Linked DNA regions of Alligator mississippiensis. Each later gene encodes a partner of the first gene's protein in a complex. Links are inferred from orthologs where the notes say so. Each region holds a gene or a part of one and is shown in the gene's direction. Other genes may lie near its edges. The genes, in order: YWHAG and CASP2.

Region 1 (14,594 bases):
TCACCAAGAGGTGATCATGGGATACCAGATGGAAGGCTTTTTTGAAGTCAAGATATATGACATCAATCTCTTCTCCCTTGTCCAGGTGATAAGTCACCTGGTCGTAGAAGGAAATGAGATTGGTCAAGCAAGACCTACCCGCAACAAACCCGTGCTGGCTATCCCTTAAGATGTTGGCGTCGGCCAGTCCATTAAGCATGGCCTCTTTAATAAACTTTTCTAAGATCTTCCCCAGGATAGAAGTCAGGCTGATGGGCCTATAGTTAGCCGGATCCACTTTCCTCCCTTTCTTGAAGATAGGCACCACACTGGCCTTTTTCCAGTCTTCGGGCACTACACCAGAGCGCCAAGAGTTTTCAAAGATCCACGCTAGAGCCTGGGCTATGATGCTCGCCAGCTCCTTGAGTACCCTGGGGTGAAGATTGTCAGGGCCGGCTGATTAGAGGGTATCCAGCTTCTCAAGATGTTCCTTCACGAGGTCAGCATTAATGGAGGGCAGGGGATCACCCTCACCCGGACTTCCCTGTCCCGTAGCGGGCATGGGCATCCCATGGGACTGATGAAAGACCAACGCAAAGTACCCATTTAATAGGTTAGCTTTTTCCTGGGCGTCAGTTGTCAGTTGCCCCATCTGGTTCAGCAAGGGTCCAATGTTGCCCCTGCTTTTCCTCCGGCTCCCCACATATCTGAAAAAGGACTTTTTATTGTCCTTGATGCTCGAAGCTAGTTGGAGTTCAGTTGCAGCCTTGGCTTTCCTGGTTTGCTCCCTACAGGACCGGACCAGTGCAGAATAATCCTCCTTGGAGGTGACTCCCATCCTCCATCCTTTGTAGGCCTTTCTTTTTAGCCTCAGGAGGTCTGCTAGGTCCCTGGAGAGCCAGGGGGGCTGCTGTGCCCTCTTGCTGCCTTTCCTCCAAGACAGAATAGACTTAGCTTGTGCATTGAGGATCGCTCCCTTGAGGAGCAACCACTCTTCTTGAACTCCCCTCTCCCTGGGGTCATGGTCCCTTAGGGCCTCACTGACAAGCCTCCTGAGCTTGTCAAAGTCGGCTTTCCTGAAGTCAAGGACTTGCGTGTTGCTGACTGACTTGCCAGCTTTTCGGCGGATGGTGAAGGTGATCAGCTCGTGGTCGCTGTCACCCAGCTTCCCATCGATCACTAGGTCGCCAACTAGGTCATCCCCTGTAGCCAGTACCAGGTTGAGCAGCGCTTTGCCTCTCGTTGGCCCATAGACTTCTTGAGTCAGGTAGAGGTCATCCACACATGAGAGGAAGCTTTGCAACAGCTCGGATTTTGCTGAGCGATCCTCCCACGAGATGTCTGGGTAATTGAAGTCACCCATGACAACCATGGTCCTGGAGCATGCGGCCTCAGCCAGTTCCTAGGCAAACTCCTGGTCAAGCTCAGGACTTTGGGTGGGAGGTCTGTAGTAGACTCCCACCATTGTGTCCCCTGTGCCGTGTTCCCCATGGATTCTAACCCAGAGGGTCTCCAGCCGTCCACCCTGGTCGCCAATATCGGCTTGCAGGGACGCGTAGCTTTCCTTAACATAGAGAGCTACACCCCCGCCCCTCTTCTCTACACGATCCCTCCTGTACAGAGTATAGCCATCTATACCTGTGGTCCAGTCATGGGTGGAGTCCCACCAGGTCTCCGTTATCCCTATGACATCAAAATTATTTGCACTGAGCAGGAGGATGAGGTCCTCCTGCTTATTCTCCAAGCTCCTGGCATTTGTGTACAGGCAGGCAAGTGTCCCCTGGGGGGCTCCGTCCTTGCCCACAGACTTTACCAGGGCTGGGGCAGGGGTGGGCTCCCTTAAGTGCCTTGACCCGCTGGCTTTGCAGGGATTGCTCAGCAGGCCAGCAGTGGCAGTAGTCCCCCCGTCCCCCAGCGGGCTTAGTTTAAAGCCCAGTGGAGCAGGTCAGCCAGTCTGGCTGAGAAGAGCCTCCTCCCTAGGGGAGAGAGGTGGAGGCCATCTCTTCCCAGCAGCTCGCTGCCTCTCTCACCAAAGAGCGGGCTGTGGTCATGAAAGCCAAAGACTTCCTGACGACACCAGCGCTGCAGTCTCTGGTTGACTACCTGGATCCTCCTCTCCCTCCTCAGCTCATAGCCTGAGACTGGGAGGATCGACGAGAACACCACCTGTGCCCCCAGACCCTTTAGCCCCGCTCCCAAATCCCTGTAGCGCCTCATGACCCGGCTGGGAGCGCTCCGAGCCATGTCATTGGTGCCCACGTGAATTAGGAGCATGGGATAGTGGTCTGTGGGTTTGAGGAGCTCTGGGATCCTCTCTGCAATGTCCCGGATGCGGGCCCCCGGGAAGCAGCAGACTTCCCAGGCTAAGGGGTCGGGGCGGCAGATTGCCCCCTCAGTCCCCCTCAGGAGGGAGTCTCCCACAACAAACACCTTACGTTTTGTCTTGGGGATTGTAAGATCTGTGAGGGCAGTACTGTCTCTTACATTTATACAGCACTAAGCCACACAGGAATCTGTAGGCACTGCTGTAATATAAATTATAAAAGATTGTGGGAGGAACAGGTACAATATCTGAAACACAGGAGCTAAACCCACGGATAACTTTAATGTTCTCTTACGATATTGTATGTTCTTTATGTATGGGTATCATGCATAGACCAGACATAAAGTGTGACATATCACAAAATATGCTGCTGAATGCTCTAAACTAGAGATTGTAAACATTACTAGTAGAATGCCTATACCGTGTATCTCATAAAAGAATAATAAACTGCTATGCTATATCCTGGAGTATCCATAGGAAATTGAAACTGTAAACAACGCACAAGACAAAGTGTGTGTTTATACCAGATACTGGCATACCTCCAAAGATGCCATGAAGCCAAATACACAGCACATGTGAGCGTGGAACTGAATCAAACATATTTGTAAGAGATGGCTAAAGGGTCCTGCTTCATGCTATTCCAGATACTTGTGTTTTGGCAACCGTGCAGGTTTTCCTTACCAAGGGCCCAGCTAGACCCAAACCAGCCAGACTGGGCTGGGGAATGGATGAGTGTTGTGTCAAAAAAAAGGGTGGTTTAAAGGTGATGGGAGGCAAAATGTGCTCAGCAGTGGTTCCCATGGCTGCTCAAGAGAGAAGTGATATGTGCCTCTGCCTTATTCCTGAAGTTAACAGTAGGCTACACTTCCAGCCTACCTGACCATGCCCCTTTGATACAAGCAGTGCAACTAAACATTAACTAAACTAAACCTTGTGAAACCCCCAGTAACTCTGTGGGAGTCTCTCCACTGACTTCAAGGCCCTTATTAAGGCAAATGTTTTCAAAAACAGCCACTGATGCTCAACATTACTAGGTGCCTTTAAAAATGCTGATCTCTGCAGAGGTGTAACGCAAGAAGGAGGAGGGTCCCTGCTTGCTGGTTTTCCCTCTAGTGTATCTGCAACACACAGAGCAGGATTTTCTCAGTAAAATATGAGATTATCTATTTAAGATTATCTATTATCAATATGCATTTTGATAGAGCCATAAGCAAATATGTCGCAATCCAGAGATTAAGAGGCCTTCCTTTGTGGAAGTCAATGGGAGTTTGACTGTTGAGTTCAATGGGTTTTATCCATGGTTCCTAAGATTTACATTGCAAATTAGACAGTGACAGACCATGAAGACAGACAAAGAAAGGAAGTAGAAAAAGAACAGACATCTAAAATTGTTGCATATCATATGAGGAAAAGATATGAGCTCATATACTTTTTAGTCTCCAGAAACCATTTATTAAAATAATTGATTCCTATTGGGCTTGGGAACTATCACCAAAAATATCTTGAATAAATCCTTGTAATATTATTAATAATTATCTATAAAGCACCACTTTCAAAAGAGTTACTGTCCTTAAGTGCTTATACTATTGTTGATTACTGTTGTAATATGCTACAATGAATTTCAAATTGATTTTTCCCTTCCATAATAGTTGTGGCAACAACTTGTCACCAAATTTTAGAGGGACACAACAGGATACAACTTCAGCTATTAACCCCATGAATGCCAACACGATTTTTGTATTCTGTACCAGGTGTGGTACTTATAACACTGCACATAATTCTCATTCATGTATGTAATTTGCATAAAGGGTGTTTGGTGTGAGGTATCTAGGAGCCATACAGTAACGGATAAATGCAAAGCAGTGCCAGACACAAAAGGCAGCCAGACAGCATTCAAGAAAACACAAAGCTCTGCTGAAAAAGGATCCTGTTCCAACTGGTTAAAGGAATGGAGAAAAATAAAACCAAAAGAAGGTATTTCTCTAAACTGCTTAAATGCACAGAGTTTACAGGGAAACAGCAAGAATACTGATAGCTGCTGAGGAACCTTGACATAGGAAAAACCTGTTCTCATCCTGACTGAACCTAGAAACCGATTACAGACCTGACCAAGATGGCCATAAATTCCTGGTTAGGTTATGAAGTTGGGCCATGACCTCTTGGGTACTTCAGGCTGAGATGATGAAGGGGTTTATATTTAAGTACAAAGATCTTGATGTGTGTGTTTTAGGTAACAGTGACCAAGTGAGTACCATGAGAAGCAAATGTAGCTGACTTCCTCAGGCATATCTGAGGAGTTAGCAGACAGCTGTTTTTTCCACCTGTCATAGTCTGGTGGTGAATTAGAGAGAAATCCAGTTTGGAGCCCAAGGTTGTAGTGCAGCCTGGATGTGATGGAGGATGGACACAGCAGTCCCCACGGGGCAGTGGTCTTTGCTGCTCAGCTGCTACAACACAGGGAGAGGAATGCTGTAGGGGACTCCCATGAGGAAGGGAGTAAACTTAGGGGTAAAGTGTCCACACACAAGGACAGGATGGTGATCCAGACCAACCTTGACACACACAGAAAATGGGTGAACGAAAACCTGATGGCCTTCAACACCAAAAAATGCAAGGTACTACACCTTAGGAAGAAAAACCTGCAGCGTGCTTATAGGCTTGGCAGTGCTACACTTGCTAGCACCATGGCCGAAAGGGACTTGGGGTCATGATTGACCACAAAATGAACATGAGCCACCAATGTGATGTTGCAGCTGGCAAAGTGAGCAAGACTCTGACTTGCATCCATAGATGCTTCAGGCAAATCCCAGGATGTAATTCTCCCACTGTACTCGGCCTTTGCAAGGCTGCAGCTGGAGTACTGTGTCCAGTTCTGGGCTCCACAATTCAGGAAGGGTGTGGAGAAGCTTGAGAGTCTAGAGGAGAGCCACGTGCATGATCAGGGGTCAGGAAAACAGGCCTTATGATGAGAGGCTGAGAGCTATGGGACTTTTCAGCCTGGAAAAGCGCAGACTCAGGGGGGACCTGATGGCTGCCTATAAGAATATAAGGGGTGTACATCAGGATCCGGGGGAATGCCTGTTCACCAGAGGGCCCCAAGGGATGACAAGGTCAAACGGTCACAAACTTCTCCAAGACCGTTTCAGGCTGGACACAAGGAAGAACTTCTTTCCTGTCCGAGCCCCCAAGACCTGGAACAGATTGCCACCAGAGGTGGTGCAAGCACCTACTCTCGACTCCTTTAAGAGTCAATTGGACATTTACCTTGCTGGGATCCTGTGACCTCAGCTGACTTCCTGTCCCTGGGGCAGGGGGCTGGACTTGATGATCTTCTGAGGTCCCTTCCAGCCCTAATGTATATGAATCTATGAAACCTATGAAGGGGAGGCACAGAATGATGTTGGTGCTGGACAGTTCCATGGCAGCTGAGAGCAACTGTTGGGGCTGGGCAGCTGGATCTGGGGATGGGAGATGCGGGCCTGAAGGCAGTGAAGAGATGGGTGGATGGAAAGGGAAAAATGGGGAACAGGCAGCAAAGCAATCAGAGCAGTAAGTCATCACCAGGGTGGAGAAAACCAGGGTCCAAGAAAGAAAAGCAGGGTATGAAACCCAGCTGGGAGATGAAGAAGGCTCCTGGCTAACCTTCCTCTCAGCACAGAGGGGACATGAGGCACTTGGACTAATGGCCATTGTTAGGCTATGAATGCTAAAATGCCTCATTCTCTGCTGCTGTGAATAACTCAATATCTATGCGGGAAGAGTTGGTAGTGGGGAGGCTGAGAGGTTGATTCTCCTGATACTGTGGGACAGAAATTGAATGTGGGCTGATCTCATAGTTACAGCACAGGACTAGGTGGCAGGGTGACTTCATTCCATCCCTGGCTCTGCCACAGACTTGCTTTGTGGCTTCTGGCAAGTCACTTAACCATTCATAAGATGGAGATGACATGGTGGTTGGGAGGCTTGATTCATTACTGTGTGTTCAGCATTTTGAGATCCTCAGGTGGAATGGGATGTAAAGGGCAATATATTATTATTTAATGTAATGTACTTAGGGTACACACTTGCATCCATGGTTATCAAACCAAGGGACAGTGGGTTATCGCAACATATTTATGCTGGTCTCAGTCCTAGTGAGTGTATACTAGTGATGATGACCATTATGATGGGTAGGTATCTGTGGTGCACATTTGGGATGGCATCCCTCATGATTGAGACCATATCTTTTGTAATGAAAGCCCCCAACTTCCCAGATAGTTTGGAGGAGGGGAACATTCTTTTTATACCCCAAACTTGGTTATTAGTATGTATTATGGCAGCCATCTTGCTTAATAACCACATCTGTTTATACCTGACATTTATTATCCATCTCCAAAAATGTATTGGCTGTCTCATCAAGGGGGTGAAGGAAAGAACAGGCTATGGAGACAACTCAATTTTCACTTCTGGAGGTGAAGCTATCAGGTTCAAAATAAGTACTTGGAGGAAATGTGCATTAGTACTAGTGCATTGCAGACTTGTTCTCTGATATGAAATCTCTAAACTTCCTTTTATAAATCTCTGGAATGTTTTATACATGTTGCTATGTCTACAGGCTTTTTGGGGAAAAAGGTCTCTCTTTAAGTTTTCCAATGAAATTCATAATGTGGAGTTAAGATTACCCTGGTACATAATGAATATGCCTTTTTATTTATTTTTTAATTGATGAATTAACATAATGCACTCATTGGCTTGCCACTCATGGATTGTATGGTGTCATTCCTAACAATGTTTTTCCCTTCCAAATTGATTGGAACCATCCCTATTCCCGCCCCCCATGTCCTCCTAGCTGAACTGTTGAATATTACTGGGTGGGGGAAATAAACCACTCTGCAGTTACCCTGACACAGTGACTCAGCAACATAGTATCACCATTTAATAATATAATAATACATATGATACTATAATTGTCACCATGTAACTTTTTGTGCTATATAGGGCACCTTGCCAAATCATAATACTACTTTTCATTTCTATAATATGGTACTGTTCATCCAAGTATCTCAAAGCTCTTTAAAACATTAATTGAACCTCCAAATTATTCTGTAACATAGCAAAGTACAAGCACTGCCTGTTCCAAAGATTTAGAGCCTGCCTCCAAAAATCCTGAGCTTCTCTTAAAAATCATGAGCTTAAAATAGGACATTTTGTGGTTTTTATTTGCCTTGCAGCTGTTTGGCTTTTTAAGGTGTGCTCTGGTCAGGTTGTTCTTTGCAACGAGGAGGGCCAGAAACGAATGATTTTTAAACCCAAGCTCCAATTCTCACATCATCACCTGCCCCAAGGAATTGAAGCCTAAAGGAAGGATCCCAAATATCACAAGTCTTGGAACAGGTTCCCCAGACAGGTGGTGCATTCTCCATCCTTGGTGGTTTTTTAAAGCCTGGCTGGGATGATCGAGTTGGGGCTGGTCCTGCTGGGGCAGGGTGTTGGACTAGATGTGACCTCCGGAGGTCCCTTCCAACCCGCATTTCCCATGGCTCTAGGACAGGGGTCAGCAACGTTTTTTGGGGCAGAGTGCCAAAACCACCTGCAACCTCCACCGGGAACACGGCCCCGCACCACGTGCTGGTCGCGGGGCGCCCCGGGGCCACTGCCAGCAGCTCCGGTGTGAGCGCGCGGCCCCGCCCAGCGCGTGGCGGGGGTGGGGGCTGCCCGGGCGCGGGGGATTCTGGGAGAGCGAGTCCGCCTCGGGCGGCGCCGCGCACTGCGAGTCCCGGCGTGCCTCGCGCGGGGGGCGGGGCCGCGTGACGTGTAGGGGCGGGGTCGTAGGGGGTGTCCTGGGCGCGGCGCGCACAGCAGCGGGTGCAGCCGCCGCCGCCGGAGCCGCAGCAGCAGCAGGAAGAGGCGCCGCCGCCGCCGGAGCCGCCTTGGTCGCCCGCTCGCTCGCCCGCCCCGAGCCGCCGCCGCCTCCCGCCGTCAGCCCAGCCCAGCCCCGCTCCCTCCGCTCCGCGCCCGGCGGGAAGATGGTGGACCGCGAGCAGCTGGTGCAGAAGGCCCGGCTGGCCGAGCAAGCCGAGCGCTACGATGACATGGCGGCCGCCATGAAGAACGTGAGTCCGGCCCGGCCCGGCCCCGGCGCCTGCCTCCCCCTCGCTCCCCCCTCGCGGGTGCAACAAAGGGCCCGGGCGGGCGGGCGGGCGAGGCCCGTGCCTCCCCTCGGCCCCCCGCCCGGGGCAGAGGAGATGCCCTCGGAGCTGAGGAGATGCCGTCGCCCCCCCACCCCACCCCCACCCCGTGTCTGGGCGGTGCCCTCCCCGCCAGCTGCCCTGGCCCCCTCCCCGCACCCTCCCTCCTTGCCTGCCTGCCTTCAGTCCTGGGCTTAAAATCTAGAAAAATCACCCCGTGGTGTCGGGGTCCCCTGCCGCCCCCGGTCCCTGCCCGCCGCCGCGGGGGCTGGAGTGACCCCCCAGAGGGCGGCTGAGGATCCTCGGAGGGACTTGCCTCGAGCCACATGAGGGATGCGTGTCCTTCCTCGCCCGCCGCCCGGCTCTCTCTCTAGCCGCATCCTCCGCTCGGTGCCCGATTCCCACGACTAGCGCGGACTGGTGTCCTCCGTGACTTCTAAGTCTTTAATGGCTCACGCTTATTTCCTTCCTTTTTTTTTTTTTCCTTTTAATTGCGTTTCAAGATCTCTGAGCTGAGTCAGGGTTGTCTTCATTTCACGCTCTTAAAATAAAGGCTCTGCGTTTTAGCGGACCCATCTGGTTTGTGACACCTTAATGTGTCTTTTTAATTAATACTGACACACATTTTTTTGACAATCTAACAAAAAAAAAAAAAAAGCCTCTCTGATCTGATCTTGCAAACAAAGCAATCGTGGGAGGCAGTATCAAGTCATTCCAGAAGATTCTGCATTTGTCATATTGCAGAGAGGCTAGACTGGGTGGAGGGAGGGAGGGGTTGCTTTAAAGGGGAAAACTGTTCTTTTATATTTGTCTTCTTGGTCAGGTCTGAGCCTTTAAGAGAAGCTGGGGTGTCCTCCCTTGCTGATGAGAAGTGAATGCTGATCTAGGAATGTCGCAGTCTCTTGAATGCAGCTCCATTCGCTTATATTGCACCATTTTGTCAGTAACCTTGCATTTATCATATGGGCAGAACTGTCACAGCCTGAGAATGGGATGGGAGTTGTACCTCCATAAATGAAATGTGGAACAATCGGAACAAAATGAGCTTGACAGCGGTTCGGTGGCTTTAATACATGAGCTGCTCTACTGCAGGATTGAATTTTCCATTTTTTTTTTTTTATTTTAATTTTTTTTTTTTTTTGTAGAGCCCTGAGCTTTGGTTTAAATGTATGTGTGCAAATATTAAATATTTTATTCAGGTAATATATAGCTACTGCTATCTAAAACAGAACATAGACTTAAATGCAAAGTAATCTTATTCCAATATATTTGTTTCTCCACAGATATAATTGGTATGCTTCTTCCCCTCCCCCCCTCAGTTCTGTATTCTTTTTTAGAAGGAAAAGGCTGACTTAATAAAAGGTCATGATTACTTTTAATGGCCATCATGAAACGGCAATCTGGACTGTTGCATCTCCAGTACATTGGAATCGGTTTCCTATAGCTGAACTATACTGGAGGTGTTCGAGCTCTTACTACATCACACGTGCACACAAGCAGCATTTCATTTTCTTTTCCTTTCTCTTTTTTTTTTTTTCCCATAACCTGGAAAATGCTACTTGGATCTATGCATGGTCCTATCTTACTGGACATGTTGCACTGATTTATTGTCCCATCTAATCACCCATTCCCCTCCCCATCTCCAGTTGTGCAGGAGGCTTGTGACCTCGGACTCATTTCCGTAGCAACGCAGTGATGTCAGAAGCAGTGGTACAAGCTGCATTGCACCCAGGTGGTAGCAGAGAGCATGCAGATTGCATATTTCAGAATTGATGCAGAAATGTTACCATGTAGTTATCCAGTGGGATTAACGTTCTCCCAGAAACTAGATGATAGATCTTTCATATATCTTTTGACAACTAATGCATGACAAATCATTCCTGACAGATCATTAGATCAAGCATGAATACCACCACTCTCACACTTGCTGCATGTCTTTCTTTATAAGATTGTATATAAAGAAAGCAGTGGCACCGTTTTTTTGTTTTTAGTGCAAACTCAAGTACAGTGCAGTAGTTAACACACAAGAACATAGTCACATCTTTGAAAATCAATTATAAGATTAAATGTTATTAATGACTAATGGGTTTGTGATGCAGCCTTCAGTCACTTAATTCAACAAACCCAACCCATACTTCCTTGGAAGCTTTTAAATAGAATAATTGCAGTTAGGGTTTCTTATTGGACATAGCATGCTGGACTCTTTCTAAACACATCATCTACTGGGCAGCCTATTACTGCAGTGGAGTGTACAAAACTGAATAAAAATGTTTCCTTATTTGGTTATCATCTCCACATCTGAATATCTAGTAGGCACTTGATAAACTTGGTTTTTAAATTTGCTAACTACACAAATCCATTGTTGTGCTTGGGTAATGCCAATGAAGCTGGATAGTGATAGTGGATAGTTTATGCTCAATTGAAGCAGTGTGGTACTTCCTGTGCTGCATTAATTGCTATGAAGGATCAGGGGAAAACTGGCTTCTTGAGTGAGTACCTTTAGAAGTAATATTGCTGGATAGATACAGTACTGGACTAGGGCACAAGAGTGCCTTGCTTTAGTCTTGGTTGTGCCATTGACCTGCCGGCTGACCTTGGGCAAATCGCTTCATCCATCCCTTCATACACCCATACAGATGGGGCTATTACCCTTCGGTATGGTGGTCTGAGAGTCTCTGAAGAGCACAGAATGAGCCCAGAGCACAAGTTATAATGAATGACCTTTTGACAAGTCTGTTCCTGGATTCTGCTGGCTAATCAGTCATTCAGTACTGGTACCCCCCTCAATTTCTGCAAACCAGAGAAAGGGATTTGTGTGGGGGAGGGGAGTCCCCTCAAAAGGCAACTAGGGTTCTGAATAGCACGTCACTGACAAGGTTCTTATTCCTTCTATTTATTCATGTATTTTTTAAATTTAAGTTTGACCTAGTGGAAAAAAAATTGTCCTTAATGCCTCAAGTGGGTGCAGGTTGCTTTTTGTCTGAATGGCTACTCCAGGAGGCTAGCTTTAACTTGGTTTAGAGTTTACTGTGTGATGCATCTGCTTATGCTGTAGTGGCTTGATCAATATCCATTAGCAGTAATGGAGCAGTGACATCTTTGCAGGCTTTTGGAGGTGGAGCCCTGCCAACCATCCAAGTCATGTGATGCTTGGGAAATTGTTTCCTTCCTAAGTGTGTGCATATGAAGTACAGTCCTGGCACTTATCCATCCATCCATCCCACCTGCAAAAATGGGGTGTATGTCTCAGATATTCATTGTTTTAATAAAACTATTTTCTGAAGGATGGAATCATTAGCCTTTTAAAGCTCCTGGCCTGGTCTTCCTATTTAATAGGCTTGTTCTGTAAGTTGTTATATTTTTATAGGGGCTGCAACACTTCTATTTTTATAACATAAGCACAAGACCAGTCCAAACTATTTCCCAGGTTCTATATAGAAAAATTCTATCTAGTCTCCTCTAAAACATGTAATTTCCATGTAGTCCAAAATGTTGCAGGATGCATTAAGTTGCTTCTAAAATCTTGACTTCCTAGGAAGAATAGAATCTAGGTATGGCTTGTGGACCTTGCCATAAATGTCATTATCTGATGGCAACTGGGCTACCCCATTCCAGGAATCCAAACGCACCATTTGGCATGAAGTGTTATCCCTCTGTGAGAGTCCAAACTATGTGCCTCTTTTAGATACACAGGTCAAGATGCAACATTCTTGCCTCTTTCCCTCCTCCCCCTCCTTTCTCATGCACCTTAAGGATCTACTGCATCAAGAGGGGTCTAAAAGAGTACATCTCTGATATTTTGAGGTTGTTCAAGGGTCAAGTTGGAAGCTGAGGCACAGGAAAAGTATAAAATGAGTGAGTAAACAAGAACTGAGCTGGTTTGGGGCCTGGGTAGGTAGGAGCAGGATTGCTTAGAGCAAAGATGTGATTTGCAGTGGTGCTGTGCAGGATCTTGAAGTTGAGAGTGAGTAATTTTAAAGCCTTTTGCTGACTTTCCCAAAACTCAGAAGTGAAAGAGTTGGAAGCGATTGTGGCAACATCTTGCAGAGGAGTGATGAGAAGTAAGGAAGCCACAAAGGAAAGGACTGCAGAGAATGAAACAAGAGGAGGAACAGTTCTTAGTATTGAGGCTTAGAACCATGTAATATCACCATGTTGCAATAATCTTGCTACTTAAATATGCAAAGAGAAGAACTTGCAAACACCCAGGAGTCAATGAAACTACCTGATGTTTCTAGAATATTACAGTTGTAGCTGAAGGTTTTTCTTCCTTTTTATTTATTTATTTAACTTGCAAGCAGTTGTTTGCATTTAACTTTATCTCTTCCTCTTTTTGCTTGGTTTGACAACTACCAGTCCTTCCCACAACCTATGATATCTGCTAATGTGTAGTAGTGTGTCTCAAATAATATTCATTCACCTTGTTTCCTGTTAATAGTTCATGGGGGGGGTAAATGCTCAGTGAGCTTTGTTTTCAGTCTTTGCACCTGGGAAAAAAAAATCTGGTAATTCATAGCTCTGATAAAAGGTCCAGGGATGCTTGTTGGCCCCTTTGTGCCCTAAGGGATCTTGTAGCATTTGTAACCTTGCTGTGAGCTTGAAGGAGGAGGTTCACAGGCCAGCACCTTACTTCCTGCAAAGGTTTAAATTTATTGGAAGGTTAAACTTGCATATGGTTTTCCATAGCTTTCTGAGCATCTTTGAATTTCTGGGCTTCTTTACTGCTCTTGTCAGTACCTCAGTCATGAACCCCTTTCTGGATGCCCTGAAGAATTGCAGCAAGACTATATTTTTATGATGCACCATTCCAGAGTTCTGCAGTAAAGTAGGCAACTGCCAAAACAGTACAGGGCATAGCTTTGCTAAACTGGCTAAAATTAAATTTTTGTCACTTCCTGAATGTTTGACTAGACATGTCCTGGAAGTTGGATCCAGCATGCTGTGAGATACGAGTGGAAAGCCGTGCCGTAATTGTAACCATGCTATCAGTAATAACAAGTAATATTAGCGTCTCTAGGTATTATGGAGTATTCCAGTGACAGAGCAATATTGAAAGAGCTGGAGCCCTTAAATGTAATGCCTGCTTGCTTTGTGATATTTTTTGTGTTCGCTTTAGGCATAAAGGCTACAAAGATAAGGCTATCCAGGCAAGAACCCCAGATTATGCTCCCATTGAAGGTTAGTCTGAACTCTGTATGACACGAGAAGGTAAAGGCAGCTACTGATTACGTTCCTGTCTGACCCCAGTCAACAGTCTGAGGTCTGTTACAGCTCTTGGCTTTAAAGCCTGGCTCTCGAAGTAGAGACTGACTTCCAGCTCTGGAGGTCCCTGGGTCAACCAAGATAGCTATCACTGAAGCATAACAGAGCAGTTGCTTGTAGCCTTGAATGCTTCATTACTTAAAGCCATGTTTTGCATGATTAGTTAACTTGCTTCCAGGTTCTACTAAAAGTAGGCAAAGCCCCATAGCGTGAACTGTGAACAAGTAACCACTCACCTGGTAGGCCAAGGAAATGGGGGCAGCAAATCTCTGTTAATCTTTAACTAGATTAGTAGATTTCTTCCCTTGGGTTTCCCTTGTAGTCTGTGTGGCACCATACATGAATATAAATACCTTTTGTGAGCAGAAATGTTATAGAAAACATTTTTGGTGGCTGTGCTGGGGTGTATAGAACTTGACCTGGAATGATAGAGAATTAGAGCTGTAAAGGACCTCATGTAGTCCAACCCCCTTCGTAAAAGCAGGATCATCCCTACCTAAACTATCCTCTACAAATCCGTTGTCTTGACTCTACAGTTTTAAGAGTTAACCCTGAGACGTAACAAGACGTAACACCCTAACCTGCCGCAGGTAAAGCAGGGGATCACAGCAGCCAACAGCCTGCTGCTGTAAAAGTTATTGATATATGTTTGTGAGATAGGAAGAGAATCATGCCCTATTCTAAAAGAAAGCAGAAACCCTCACAGTCCATACCAATCTGACCCTGGGGTAAAAAGGCAGACTACAATGTAGCAAGCAAGGCTGGCTTAAACATGGGCAGGAAAACTCTTGACTAAATCTGGCCCACGGCTGCCCCCACTGAACTCAGCATGGGGCTGAGCCTTGCTATAAGCAGAGAGCACC
Region 2 (15,258 bases), on another chromosome or scaffold:
TAACCCAATTTGCTAGGGTTTTGTTTTTCTTTTTGCAATAAGATCACACTGTTGGCTCATATTTAGCTTCAGCTTGAGGCTCATGGAACCTGGCAACTCCCAGGTCCTTCTCTGCAATAATTACAGACCAGCCAGTCATTCTCCAGGCTGTGTTTGTGCCTCTCACAGGATAGAATGAGGTTCCCTTTCGTATGTGGGTCCTATGGAAAGCCCCCCTTTGACTTCAGTGGGGAAGCATGTCAAGCCTGATTTCTACTATCTCTTGCAGGGCTTCTCGACTCAGGCACTGTAGGCATCAGCAGAGCAGGATTAATATGCACATAGCATCCCCAGTGCACTTGAATGAATCTCCAACAACAGATATACAATTTGTACATAGGTGTGTTCCTCTTTAGCATAATCACTAGTGACTCTACAGTAACAAAGTGGTGTCAACTGAGGTTTACACTTTCAGGTCCTTACAGTGAAGAGGGAAGATGTTGCTGCCCTCTACTGGAAAGTCATTTTACTAGCTCAATGTAGGGAAGGTTAATACAGTAACTGATCTGTACTTTTTCAAAGTTCCTGACAAATAGTGACAAAGCATTATTACCCACATTTTGAAGCCAAAGAAACTGAAGTGTAGTGAAGTTCAACTTTCTTAAAAGTGTCCACGTTTGATGAATGCTGCAGTTTTGGGGAACTCAAACTGAATCATAAAAGGGTATGATTTTCAGAGGTATTCAGAACCTGCAACTTCTGCTCATTCCAATTTAAGTTAGAGGAATTCAGTACTTCTTTCAATCAAGCTAAGTGCCTCAGAATGTAAGCACTCAAATTAGTAGCCTGGTTTTTTTAAATATTTGTACTGAAGTTTCCTGACTGCAGTTACAGTCTTGGCAGAAATTAAAATAGACGCCAGGCTGCTTGATTGCCTGGCAAGTAGAATGGGATGACTGCACTACCAAAAGGCCAGCCAGTTAAGCTGACATGTACAAGGTGGTCTTACATTATTTCTGAAGGGCACAGCTAGAAACGTTCAAACATGAAATAACATTTGGTGTTTTAAGAACGATGGTAATGAGCTACTAAAGCAGCTCATTGAGGGCTGTGGTAGATTCTCTATTACTTGAAGTCTTTAAATCAAGGTATGCTATAGCTTAACCAGAGCTCATTGAGTTAGATGCACTAATTACTGCAAGAAGTTCTGTAGCCTATAACTTGCAGGAAGTCAAAGGGGAAGATCATGATGGCTTTACTTGGCAGTCCTTTAGCCTCATAGAACAACATTATATTCCATCTATTAGGCACTAAGTGTCATCCTATTCCACCCTGCTCAAGGGGAAGGGGTGGGGGGGAAATAGATCCCCCTGCTTGCTGCTTTTTGTGATTTAGTCTTAAGGGTAAGGTGATTGATGATGTGTACAAAAGTACACATACCACAGATTTATAGGATCAAAAGGAAAGCAGTGCTAGAAGGGACCCAAAAGGAAAGCAGTGCTAGTTCAGCCCCCTGTTCATGGCAGGATCATTCCTAACTAAAACATTCCAGTCAAGTGTCTGCCCAACATTTTAACATTTTTTCAGTAGCCTCCATGCCAAATAGAGACACATGCTACTACCCAAACCAAAAAATATACGTGCAACCCTTGCCCTGTCTGATTGACCAGTTTGGTGCGTCAGGCAGGCTACCTGCATGCTACCTCATAGGCTGAACTAGGCAACTGAACCATGTGAAAAATGGCCTGCAGACTCCTTAGCACAACTGTAGTCTTCATGAGTGTTGCTCTGTCTGTGGCTTCTGCTGGCTTTTGACCTTAATGCCAGTCATTGACCCATGATTCATTGCCCTGGGGTCTGGCTCTTTGATGTCACGTTAGATTGCCCATATGTAAGCTGTGTAACATGACTAAGCCAAACTATATTGGAGAGGAATACATATTGTTTTAGTGGCAGGGTATGCATAAGGCAGAAAGCCATAAAGCACCGACTATGGCCATGAGGAAAACCCCAGAATAAGAACTTGTTGGCTGAGCGCAGGTTGAAAGTCTTGGGAGTTGAGAGCAAATTAATTTTCTATTAGTTGATTCCTTTTTGTTCAAGGAAACAGGACTTTGTACATCATCTTTAAATGAAAAGGATTGCGTCGAAGCTGCCTCAGTCATTAATTAATCCTTCTGTTAAACAATCTGCAGAGCCTTGAACGGTTTGGTTTAAAAGAGGTAACGTGACTAAGAAATTAATATTGACAGTGGCTAAGTGGCACTGTTGGCTCTTAGAGCTAACTGTGTAATCAGAGCAATAGAAGGCTACAGTAACATTGATTTCAAGCTTTTTGAAGATGTGGACAGACATAACTTCATGGGTTATATAACTTGTTCACACTTGTAGTTTTAGCTCTACAGCCATAAAGACTAGATACCTTGTCTTTTATATTAAGAAAGGGAATATATCCCAGTGAGCCACATAACGCTCTAATTTAAGCTATCTCCTACTTCTAGGGTGTTTCTGGATAGCCATAGCTCTAGGGCAGGAATTCAATTGCTACTTCTGCTGCTGAGTCACTCTAGTTTCCCTATAATAATACTTGCGTCATAGCAGCATTGTGAAATGTAATTAGTTAATGACTGGAAGCACTTTGAATATATAACGCTCTATAAATATAAATTATTTCTAAAAAATCCAGCCCTATGAATTTAGATTAAGAAAAATCAACTCACATTGGAAACTAACGTTTCCCTGCAATATAGTGGGTAACCATTCAGCACCACTCCATTGGGCAGCTGACTTGGTCATCTTATGAAAAGGACCAGGGCTAGAGGAAAAGGTGGCATTATTTGAACAATGGATTTTTGGAGCCTGAGGGTAGAAGAAATGAATGTGTTTCTACAAAACTAGGTGGTCTAAATGACCTTTGATAGCCCTTCTAACCTCATGATTCCATGAAAACCATAGTCCCTTTGGTCATAAGCATCTCAGGTAACATATATTGTGACTATCACACCTTGTAATTTCCAGCTGAGTGGAAAGTCTCTCCCAGAGTCCTCCCAGAATCCTTCATATTGAAATCTATCTGGGGGAGGAGTTTTAAATGCAGAGAGTAAATTAAAGACTTGTATGAAGTCAGAGAAAATAAGTCTTCGGAGTGGGTGGAAGAGTAGAACTATACAGGACCTGAATTATTTGTTTGCAGTGGGTTGCCTAATTAAAGTGAACCCATTCAGCTTTTTGCTGCAGATTTTACCTCAAATGGCTCTGTTTCTTTTATCAGCTGAAGCTCATCAGTGGTCTCATACAGTTGATTGGAGAAGTGGTCTGACTGGAGTTGACTGGAGAAGTTCCACTCAGAAATTCACTGGTTCTGTACCTAAAGTCCTGAGCTTGACCAGGAGTTTGCCCAGGAACCGGCTGAGGCAGCTTGCTCCAGGGCCATGGTTGTCATGGGTGACTTCAATTACCCGGACATCTCGTGGGAGGATTGCTCAGCAAAATCTGAGCGGTCGCAGAGCTTCCTCTTGTACGTGGATGACCTCTACCTGACTCAAGAAGTCTATGGGCCAACGAGAGGCAAAGCGCTGCTCGACCTGGTACTGGCTACTGGGGATGACCTAGTCGGCGACCTAGTGATTGATGGGAAGCTGGGTGACAGCGACCACGAGCTGATCACCTTCACCATCCGCCGAAAAGCTGGCAAATCAGCAACACGGAAGTCCTTGACTTCAGGAAAGCCGACTTTGACAAGCTCAGGAGGCTTGTCAGTGAGGCCCTAAGGGACTGTGACCACAGGGAGAGGGGAGTTCAAGAAGAGTGGTTGCTCCTCAAGGGAGTGATCCTCAATGCACAAACTAAGTCTATTGCATCTCAGAGGAAAGGCAGCAAGAGGGCACAGCAGCCCCCCTGGCTCTCCAGGGACCTAGCAGACCTCCTGAGGCTAAAAAGAAAGGCCTACAAAGGATGGAGGATGGGAGTCACCTCCAAGGAGGATTATTCTGCACTGGTCTGGTCCTGTAGGGAGCAGACCAGGAAAGCCAAGGCTGCAACTGAACTCCAGCTAGCTTTGAGCATCAAGGACAATAAAAAGTCCTTTTTCAGATATGTGGGGAGCCGGAGGAAAAGCAGGGGCAATGTTGGACCCTGCTGAACCAGATGGGGCAACTGACACTCAGGAAAAAGCCAACCTATTAAATAGGTACTTTGCGTCAGTCTTTCATCAGCCCCATGGGATGCCCATGCCCGCTACAGGGCCGGGAAGTCCGGGTGAGGGTGATCCCCTGCCCTCCATTAATGCTGACTTTGTGAAGGAACATCTTGAGAAGCTGGATACCTTCAAGTCAGCCGGCCCTGACAATCTTCACCCCAGGGTACTCAAGGAGCTGGCGAGCATCATAGCCCAGCCCCTAGCGCGGATCTTTGAAAACTCTTGGTGTTCTGGTGTAGTGCCCGAAGACTGGAAGAAGGCCAATGTGGTGCCTATCTTCAAGAAAGGGAGGAAAGTGGATCCGGCTAACTATAGGCCCATCAGCCTGACTTCTATCCCGGGGAAGATCTTAGAAAGTTTATTAAGGAGGCCATCCTTAATGGACTGGCCGACGCCAACATCTTAAGGGATAGCCAGCACGGGTTTGTTGCGGGTAGGTCTTGCTTGACCAATCTCATTTCCTTCTACAACCAGGTGACCTATCACCTGGACAAGGGAGATGAGATTGATGTCATATATCTTGACTTCAAAAAAGCCTTCTATCTGGTGTCCCATGATCGTCTTTTGGAGAAACTGGCCAATTGTCGCCTTGGGTCCTCCACGATCCACTGGCTGGAAAATTGGCTCCGGGGTTGGACCCAGAGGGTAGTAATTGTTGGAAGTCACTCATCGTGGTGTCCTGTGACCAGTGGGGTCCCCCAGGGCTCTGTCCTTGGACCCATACTGTTCAACATCTTCATTAATGATGTGGACGCTGGAGTCAGAAGCGGACTGGCCAAGTTCGCAGATGACACCAAACTTTGGGGCAAAGCATCCACACCAGAAGACAGGCGGATGATCCAGGCTGACCTGGACAGGCTCAGCAAGTGGGCGGATGAGAATCTGATGGTGTTCAATGCCGATAAGTGCAAGGTTCTCCACCTTGGGGAAAAAAAACCCGCAGCATCCTTATAGGCTCGGCAGTGCTGTGTTGGCTAGCACTATGGAAGAAAGAGACTTGGGGGTCATCATTGACCACAAGATGAACATGAGCCTGCAATGCGATGCTGCGGCTAGTAAAGCGACCAAAATGCTGGCTTGCATCCATAGATGCTTCTCAAGCAAATCCCGGGACGTCATTCTCCCCCTGTACTCGGCCTTAGTGAGGCCGCAGCTGGAGTACTGCGTCCAGTTTTGGGCTCCACAATTCAAAAAGGATGTGGAGAAGCTTGAGAGAGTCCAGAGAAGAGCCATGCGCATGATCAGAGGTCAGGGAAGCAGACCCTACGATGACAGGCTGAGAGCCCTGGGGCTCTTTAGCCTGGAAAAACGCAGGTTCAGGGGTGATCTGATGGCCACCTATAAGTTTATCAGGGATGACCACCAGTATCTGGAGGAACGTTTGTTCACCAGAGCGCCCCAAGGGATGACGAGGACGAATGGTCACAAACTACTACAAGATCGTTTCAGGCTGGACATAAGGAAGAATTTCTTTACTGTCCGAGCCCCCAAGGTCTGGAACAGCCTGCCACCAGAGGTTGTCCAAGCGCCTTCATTGAACACCTTCAAGATGAAACTGGATGCTCATCTTGCTGGGATCCTATGACCCCAGCTGACTTCCTGCCCTTTGGGCAGAGGGCTGGACTCGATGATCTTCCGAGGTCCCTTCCAGCCCTAATGTCTATGAAATCTATGAAATTGCAGCAGCTATACATACTCTCAGCTAATTCACAAACCCTCATTTTCCCAGAGGAGTTAGAAACCTATCCTTGTGAAGTATTCAACTATATATTGAACCAATATGGGCTGGAAGGCCCTGGCAGATGTTTCATTTATTGCACAAGAAAACTGTTAATCATGTGATTAATTAGATGCGACATATTAGCCAATTTATGACTTCATAAATAGCAAACCAGCCATGGAGATGTTCCATATTAAATGTGGATTGAATCACTTTAAATTGAGCACGTGGCAGGTTTTGGGACTGCTCTATGCCTGATCCCAATTAGCTGATTGTTGGGATCAGGTATAAGGCAAGGTCAGGACATGACTACCCCTACCTGATCCTTGGATCTCAAACTGGGACTGGGTACTGCTCTACATCTGATCCTGATGATCAACTGAGGGTTGGGATCAGGCAGGAGGCAGCCCTGAGATCCAAGACTTAGCTGCCCCCAGCTTGGTCCAGTTTGGCTGTGGCAGTTACACAACTGGAATCTGAGGAATTTTATGTCCCATCCCAAAAATCACATGTCCTTTCATGCATGTCTGGGATGGAAGAACATGCGATTTCAGGGATCGGGCACGAAATTCCTCAGATCCCAATCACAGCATTATATTCACATCTGCCAGGAGTCTGAGAATGCTTGAAGGAGTGGGTCCCTCACGCCCGCAAGAACAGCAAACCTCTCTTGGCAGGGAACTGAATCGGCTTAGCTAGACTTCTTACCAGACCCTCCACAGTGATGCTTTCCTTGTGAGATCAAGTCCCTTGCCTATACCAGGTAAACACCACCCCACCCTGGGGTTATCATAGACCACGTACCACCTGCCAGCCACTCTAGGGACCAGCCTCAAGGGCATTGGGGGGGAAGGGAGGACACGCTGGCAATCTACTAAATTCAAAGTCCTTGAAACGCTGCTACCATTTCTAGGACACGCGTGAGCCATCCGCATGGGCTTCGTACTCTTGTAATACCGTCTTTCTGAACTGGTTCTGATGCCTTTCGAGTAGGCTACGGCAGGGACCTCGCAGCAACGTACTGTACCGAGACCAAAGCACTGAGTGGGCATCAAACCCAGAAAACCCCTGATTCCCGGGATTTCCCAGCCAGGGGCTTTCTGTGCTTTCTTCACAGCGTCCAGTACCGCCTTCCCGCCTGCTTCCCCTCCTGCGATGCCGCAGCTAGGCCAAGGAGCAGGAGCCTGAGGAGCTGCCCGCTGCAGGCTCCTGCTCTCCCCACCCTCGCCTCCTGCTGGGTCGGGCTGCACGCGACCACTCCGCCACAAGAACAGCGGCGCACGCGTACACGGGACTCCATTGTTCCGTGCCGGAAACCGCTATGGCGGCGAAGTGGAGATTTCGCGCGCAGGCGCTCACGTGACCACGAGTTGCAGAGCTGGTTGGGCGCGGCCGCGTATGCGCGCTGATTTGACACGGGCTTTGGCAAGCGGGGCGGAAGCGCTGGGCGGGCTGGGCGCGGGGCCGTCGGGCTGGCGCACTGAGCGCTCGGAGCAGCCCCCAGTCCCGGCGCGGCGCGGGGCAGCCCGGGCCGATGTCGGGCGCGTGCGGGATGCAGCCGTGCCACCAGGAGGCGCTGCGCAGGCACCGCGTGCCCCTGGCCAAGCAGCTGGTGCTGCAGGAGCTGCTGGAGCACTTGCTGGCGCGCGCCGTGCTCACGCCGGAGATGAAGGAGGCCATCCAGGTAGGGCGGGGCCTCGGCCTCCGCTTCCCTTCCCGGGCTGCGGGACCTGGTCTGCCTCGCGGGAGCCGGCCACGGCACGGGCTAGGGCGCGGGGATGCGGCATTTCACATGCGGGCCCTTGTGAGCTTGAACTGAGAATAGAGGAGCTGCTGTTTCGTGGGTCGGGCCCCAGCTCCATCTTGCTCCGTCTCATATGGCCACCAGGGGCGCCCCCCCCCATGCTGCAGCTGGGCCAGGGAGCAGGGGCCTGAGGAACTGCTTGCTGCAGGCTCCTGCTCTCCCCACCCTCGCCTCCTGCTGGACCTACAGCCCTCTCTCCTTTGGTCCTGCCTCACGACCACTGCATGACCAGGGCCACCTGCAGCCAAAGGGGACCTCACAATGCCGCCACCAGCAATGTCTGCCTGTTAGCTGGTCTAGGAGCAACCCCTGTGTCTACCCTCCTGTGGTGGGTCCTGTGCTCCACTTCCTTTCTCCTGGTGTTTGTGATCCGCTAAGTCAGCAGCATGCTTCCCTTTCTTTTCTGCATATGTCCCTGTTGTCTTTTTGTGTTCCCCCCCACAGCTCCCCTCCTCCCCCCTGCAGTACAGCCTGCGGAGGCACCTTGCACCCCACAGCAAGCCACTTTCTTCCTTCCAGGCAGAGGAGGAGCATGCAGCTCCCTCCCTCACACCCCACCTGACTCCTTCCCACCATAGGCAGCAGAAGGCTGCGGCTAATGGGGCTTAGCCCCCCCAAACGCAGCTCCATTGCTCCAGCACCACTGGCATGCCCAGTGTACTTGCCATGCATCAGCCCCGCAACAGCCCCGAGTGAGGGGGAGGGGCATCTCTGCACTACTTCTCCGCATCCTGCCATGCACTCGCAACCCCAGCACCCACATAATATTTTCTCCTGCGACCGCTGCTTCCAACCTAGCCTCCCATGATATGGCAAGAGTCCCTTGAGGGAGCTGCCAATATGCTGGGGAAGACCCTGCAGGGGCAGGGGTTTCCCCACTGGCCAGTCTCTCTTCGAGGGGGGCCATGGAGCCCCCAAGCCCAACCAGGGCAGGGGAAAGGGCAAGGGCTCCTCTTCTTCCTCCTCCACAGGGGGTGGGAAGAGTAAAGGGCCTACAAAGAAAGTCCAGTTAGCAACACTTGCAGGTGCCCCTCCCACTCAGTCTTCCTTCATCTCTGCAAGCAGGGCTGCTCAGCTCAGCAGTTGGAGCTATTCCTAGGTGGCTGCAGGGAAGCTTGCAGCCTCGGAGCCTGGGCCCTCTTCCACTTCTGCCCACACATCCTCAGGCAGTTGGGGTCCCCTCCCCAGCATCAGCAGGCACAGTGGGGTGCACTGCGACATGCCTGAGATTAAGCCACCACCGTTTGAGAACTATGTGAGCTCACTCAGGCAGTGGGGGCCCCTGGAGATTGACAGTCTCCAGATACTACCGCAAGGTTATCATTTACCTTGCCATGGAGGCTGCCATACAGGAAGCGGCAGAGAAGAGGTTTGCAGTGTGGGGGGGAAAGCGTGTCCCACTCAAGCCCCTGGAGGAGCTGGGAACTCGGGTGGTCTTCAGCCCCACCCCCTTACGTCCCTAATTGGGCCCTCATGCCCTTCCTGCAAAGCCTGGGGAGAGTTCTATCCCTGGTCACCACTCTCCTGCTGGGGTGCCAGGACCCCAACCTCCCCCCACATCCAGTCCTTCCACCACCTTCAGGTGCTGTATGCCTCTGCATAGTGTATGGTCAAGTCACCATCCAGCTGGAGGTGAAGGGGGGACCTTTATTGTCTCCTTCCAGGGGTCCCTCAACCACATTAACTATATGGTGGTGGAAGTTAGGTACTTCTGGTACTGGGTACTGGGGCACCTCTGCCAAGAATGTCCCCTCAGTTAGCGATGGGGGGCACCACAGCACTCCCACCCCCCAAGCAGAGAGGTACCACCACCACTGGCAACCCAGCCCTAGCATCCAATCCCTTGGCAAGCTCAGGAGACACCCCCCCCCCCCCCCAATGCCACAGCCACCAGTGGGGTCCCAAAGCAGGGAGGGGGGCACACCAGCCCCCACCACTGCTACTCCCTCCTAGCCCCACGATACTTCCAGCATCTCAGGAAGACCCCTCCTCAGGCCACCCTGAGGCTGGCTGGGTGCTGGTCCCACATGGGTGGTGATCTACCATCCATTGCAAGGTAAAGTGCAAAGCCCAGACGCAGCTTGGGCCCTCCAGTATGAAGGAGGCTCCCCCTCCCACCATCCAAGAGGAGGGCTGACATTGATGTTATACCCACCACCTCCCGAGCTGCACCAGGAATCCCACCTCCAGGAAAAATAAAAAAGATAACTGTTACCAACATGGAAGAGGGCCCAGGATGGCAAGGCCATCCTATGTTAGATTAGCCTATGGAGAAGACTCCCTCCCCCCAACTCAGCCGGCTTTGACCTGCCCCCAACTACTACAGGCACTGGACCTCAGCCCCAGCCACCCTGGGGCAGGTCTGATGGCAGAGACCCCCACTCCGACCACCTGGGGGAGATGGGAGTCCAGGGGCTCGTGCCAGTGGGCCCCGATGGGGAGGATTCCCTTCCCCAGGACTATGGGGAGGGCACCAATGCCACCCAGGTGCGTGAACCATCTTGACAACACCACCACCTTCACCTTTGTCAGGGTGGAGGAGTAACGGATACCCTGAATTGTTGAATTGAATCTACTCAGTTGAATTGAATCTACTGGTCCATGCTAAATACCGCCCAGGTCCATGCTAAATACCGCCCAAGTCCATGCCTCCAGCACTAGGCTGGCCCCCTTCAGTGACCATCATCTGGTATGCACTCAGGTTACTCTGCAGCCTGAGCATCCAAGGCTGGCTTCCTGGCATTTTAGCAACAGCCTGCTGGAAAATGTGGTCTTTGGTCACCTTCCAGGAGTTCTGGCTGGCCTGGTGCAGGCAGCGGCAAGCATTTCCCTTGACCCAGAGATGGTGGGACATGAGGTAGGTTTGTGTCAGGCAGTACTGTTGCTTCTACATCGGGGGCGCACCTAACAGCTGCTAGAGAGCAGCTCAAGAGGGAAGTTCAGGAGCTGGAGAATTGCCTGGTTGCTGACCCAAACTATGCATCCCTGCGTGGAGAGTGTTGAGAGGGGGAAGGAGCTTTGTGCTCTGCATGACTGCTGCACCTGCGGTGCATTCATCTGCTCACGCATCAAGCTCCTTTGGGAGGTGGACTGGACTGTGGCTTCTACTGCTTCTGTGCTCTAGAGAAGAGGAGGGGTGCCAAGAGGTACATCACTTGTCTCCTGACGGAGGATGGCACCTACCTCATGGACTCTGGTGAACTGCAACGAAGGGTGAGGGCTTTCTATGCAGAGCTCTTCTCATCATATCTGGCCAATGCTGATATGGCTGCCAGGTCCTGTGGGAAGGTACTGCCATAGGTTTTCCTGGTCAACCAGGACTTGCTCAAGTGTCCTGTCACCCTGGCCAGGCTCTTGGATGCTTTCCATCTGATGCCCACCAACAAAGCTCTGGGCATTGACAGACTGACTGTGGAGTTCTGCTGTGCCTTCTTGGATGTCCTCAACCCAGACCTAGCTGGGGTTTGGGCTGTGTCTGAAAGGGATGGGGAGCTCCCCCTGTTGTGAAGGAGGGCTGTCCTGACCCTGCTGGCTAGAAAAAGGGACCCTCTTCCCTCAACCTGAGGAACTGGCACGTAGTTTCACTTCTCTCTGCAGACTGCAAGGTCATAGCAAAAGCCATTTCGCTGCACCTGAGATATGTGTGGGTGAATGTGACCAGATGTAAACAGTTCCAGGGAGCTCCATCTTCAGCATCCTGTACCTAGTGCAGGATCTCCTCAAGCTTGCTTGTAGGGACAGCCTGTCATTTGCCTTCCTGTCCCTTGACCAGAAGATGGTGTTTGACAGGGCGGATCTTGGCTACCTCACAGGCATGCTGAGAGGGTGTTTGGCTTTGGTCCCTGCTTCATTTGGTTTCTCCAGGTGCTGTACACCTCTGCAGAGCGTATGGTCCAGCACAACTGGATACTGATGGAGCCCATCCCATTCAGCTGGGGAGTGCATCAAGGCTGCCCGCTGTAAGGCTAGTTCTACCATTGCCCTCGAGCCCTTCCTCTGCCTCCTGCGCAAGTGGGTGGTGGGGCTGGTGCTTGAGGAGCTTCCCACGAGCATGGTTCTGTCAGCGTATGCCAATGTGTTCCAGAGACATGGCCACTCTGAACTACACGCACAGTCACTGCCAACATGGAGCTGATGCCGGAGCTGTAGAGCCTGCCTGCTGCTTGATTCAGCTGCCCAGAGCCCAGGCAGGCTACAAACAGCTGCACTGGGCTCCAGAGCCTGCTGGTAGCGGGGGAGAGACTGGAGTTGCACTGCCTTGGGCCCTTCCCGCAGCCTGCTCCAAGTCATGTGTGCACGTGCCAGTACAGAGCTGATGCTGGAGCCTGGCCCAGCTGTTTGCAGCCTGCCTGCTGCAGTGGCTCAGAGCCCAGGCTGGCAACTAGCAGCTGCTGCAGGCTCCAGAGCTCAGTCATCAGCTTTGTGCCGGCAGCAGGGGAGAGGCTGGGGTTGTGCTGCCTCAGGCCTGTTTCCCCCTCCCCCCCCCACAAGGCACGCGTGCAGCTGGTTGCAGACTCCTGGCTGCAGCCAGCCCCAGCTCTGGGTAACTGCTGTCAACTACGGAGCCGGGCTCCTTGCAGCAGGGCTTGCAGCTGAGCTGGCCTGATTCCTACCTGCTCCAAGCCCAGCGCTGGCCCAGCCGCTGTACTGGGATGAGGCTGGCACTGCCCCTTGCCAGGAGTGCCGCACATTTGTGGGCTTAGGTGTGTGGAGTGGGTAGGTGGTTGGGCTGATTGGTAGGCTCTGGGCCGGGGCCTCGGCTGGCCATACTGCAGCCCGGGGGCTGGCTCCCCAAGGAAGCACAGGGGCTCTGGCAGGCCCAGGGCATTGTTGGGTCGGACTTTGTCTGGTGGCCCAGCAGCCCGGCTCTGTGCACCCATGCATCTGGTTCTGTATGTTTGTCTGCCTCTGGTTCTGTGCGTCTGTGTGTGCACGCATGTCTGGCTCTGGATGTGTGTGTGCATGTGTCTGTTCTGGTTCTCTGTGTTTGTGCACATGTGGTTCTGTGTGTGTGTGTATGTGCCTGATTCTCTCTCTGCTCTCTTTTCTCTCTCTCCTTCTTTCTCTCCTCTTTCTCTTATTTTTCTTTTTTCTCTCTCACCGCAACATGCTGAACAAAAAAAAGTACACAACAACAGAGGCAACATTTATGGTTATTAAGTATACTAATATGAAGTGCGTCCTGCCATGTACCACTGCCCCCCCCCCCCTTTTGTTTTTCTGGCATGCCGGCACTCTGGCACCTTCCATGGTAGACATTGTGGGCTTTTTGGGACTCCAGCTAAAAAAAGTTGCCTACCCTGTTCTAGACTATGCTAGGCAGGGATAGGTGCATCCTTCTGTGCTGGCTTGTGAAGCTGCCCGTGCTGCGTGTTCCCTGCTGCTTGCTCTGGGAAGTAAACCTTGCTGCCCACTGCCCTTGCCTACATTGACCAGGTCCTGTGTAAGGGCAGTTTCTCCTCCCCAGCCCTCTGGAGATAGTTGTGAGGCTGCTGCCTTGGCAGGCCCCACTGTGCTCCCTGCCCCAACATCTTAGCATGCTGTGGCGTACCAAGCTGGTCTGCCTGTGAACAGCCTACTGCCACCAGCTCTACATGCTTGTACTCTGCACTGTCCATCATCCCGTCCTCGTGTCCTGCCCCAACAACGAGCGAGACAGCCTAGGTGAAGGCGGGGGTGAGGGTCCCCGGTGGGCAAGTCTTATTCCACCTTGATCTCATGAGCCACTGGGGACCTCAGTTGGCACTTCCTGAATGGAGCTGTTGCCATGGGCGTGTTTACGAACACCTGACGCCTGCCTGTTTTCTCAACAGAGGGAGGCCCTGGCACACACCTACTTTGAGTGCCAGGTTGCAGCCCCTCTTCTGCCTCCTCCAGAACTTCCTGCTGAGGTTTTGGCTGCACTTCTCCCCACACCTTTGTTATGTACTTTCCGTCCGCTGCCCCAGCAAGTCCTGGGACTTCCTAGTCAACCTCCTCCTGGCTCTGGCCAAACTGACCATCTGTAAGACCAGGAAGGCGGCTTTGGCCAGGGTAGCACCCTGGGCAAGTGTGGGGCTGTCTAATTGGCACTCCGCTCACATCTCCGAGCAATTTCACTGGTCAGCATCCACAGGCTCCCCCGACTTTTTTGGGGGCATTGGGCACTGACTGGTGTGCTCAGCTCAGTGTCCCCTTTCAAATCCCTTGTTGTTAACTTATGACCTCACTCCTATTCCTGTTTTTTTGTTATTGTTGTCCCAAACACTCAGTTGATATGTCCCCAGTGGTCTTCCCTTCTCAAGGGAGGTTTATAGTTTTTAATGATGGGCCAAAGCCCATCACCCTTGGCATATCAGATAGGCATGTGTCGCACGGTGGCAGAAAGTGGATGCTGAAATGGAGAGTGAACTGGGTAGGACCAGGGCTTTTTCCATTGCTCCTCTCTCACTTGCTGCCTCTAGTGTTTAAGATCTAGGACGTTCTGATTCAGAGGCTGTGCCCCTCACTCCCATGCCCAATAGCTACTGATACCCCTTCCCGCCAAGAATCTGTTCAATCTCTTTTTGAATGTAGTTAAACTGTCAGCTTTCTCAACATCTGGTGGCAGAGTTCCACACTTTTAAGTACATGCTGTGTGAAAAAGAACTTTCTTGTGTTAGTTTTAAACTTACTACCTTCTTATTTCATTTTGTGACTCCTAGAATGAATCGAGAGAGATTTTGGTTGGCATATCTATTATAAGTTTGCTTGTTGGTTCTTTGCATCTAGACCAAAGCCGGGAGCTTCAGCCAAAATGTTGAATTCCTCAGCCTTCTGCCCAAGAGGGGCCCCCAAGCCTTCTCAGCCTTCTGTGAAGCTCTGAGAGAAACCAGACAGGAGCATCTGGAAGAGATGCTCTTAAATGCCATACAACACTCGAGCAACGGGTATGTAAAGGTAAGGAATGTCAATTCTGAGTGACACATGTTTGGAATTGGGTGTGGGCACAAAGGAATGAATCTTCAACATAAGGAAAATAAATTTCTTTGTAGGTTTTAGTGATGAGTAGAAATCTGGTGGTGATCTAAGGATAAAGGAGACAGAGTAGAGGAGATGAAAACTGGGCTTATTCCCTTCTTGCTACTCCATGATAAAGCCTCAAATAAACCCTTTTTGTCCAAATGTAATTTTAAGTTTTTTACTACGTTGCAGATTTTCCTCTCTTCTCCCCCCCGCCCCCTTCCTTCTCCCTAACTCTCACCCCCACTCTCCCCTTCCCATCTCTTCCCACTCGCACCTCTCTTCCATCTCTTGCCTCAAGCAACTTATATATATTGTAATAGTTAAAGGAACCAGTACCCCGAGTTTAAAGAAGAGAGAGAAAAAACTAAGCAATCTTAAAAGAAAGGTGACTTTTAGGAGGTTAGATTGGAAAGGCATACAGCTGAGATCTAAAGATGAGAGAGAGGGGGAAAAATCTTCCATGTAAGGAAAGTGGAACTTTGTGAAATGGAATAAGGTGGGATCAGAGATGCATGTGGAAAGGAAGAAATCTTGAATATAAAGAAAATGCAGACCCTTCTGCCTGATTTAAGT

The links.
Region 2: the proteins of YWHAG (region 1) and CASP2 are in contact, whole or in part, in a crystal structure (PDB 6S9K), measured with the Homo sapiens proteins. The link is inferred for Alligator mississippiensis from reciprocal best matches to the Homo sapiens genes YWHAG and CASP2. Residues at the interface, in NP_036611.2 of Homo sapiens: Glu15, Asn43, Val47, Arg57, Arg61, Lys125, Arg132, Tyr133, Pro170, Gly174, Leu177, Asn178, Val181, Glu185, Glu213, Asp214, Lys217, Asp218, Leu221, Ile222, Leu225, Asn229, Leu232, Trp233; in NP_116764.2 of Homo sapiens: Asp137, Leu138, Ser139, Leu140, Pro141, Phe142, Pro143, Val144, Cys145, Glu146, Leu150, Lys152, Lys153, Leu154, Ser157.

What each region holds. Positions count from the first base shown.
Region 1 is NC_081837.1:16,880,875-16,895,468, forward strand, and holds the start of YWHAG (14-3-3 protein gamma), read left to right. Parts: upstream 1-8,134; 5' UTR 8,135-8,307; coding exon 8,308-8,394; intron 8,395-14,594. UniProt on the Homo sapiens protein: Adapter protein implicated in the regulation of a large spectrum of both general and specialized signaling pathways. Binds to a large number of partners, usually by recognition of a phosphoserine or phosphothreonine motif.
Region 2 is NC_081827.1:153,829,648-153,844,905, forward strand, and holds the start of CASP2 (caspase-2), read left to right. Parts: upstream 1-7,259; 5' UTR 7,260-7,431; coding exon 7,432-7,581; intron 7,582-14,451; coding exon 14,452-14,619; intron 14,620-15,258. UniProt on the Homo sapiens protein: Is a regulator of the cascade of caspases responsible for apoptosis execution. Might function by either activating some proteins required for cell death or inactivating proteins necessary for cell survival.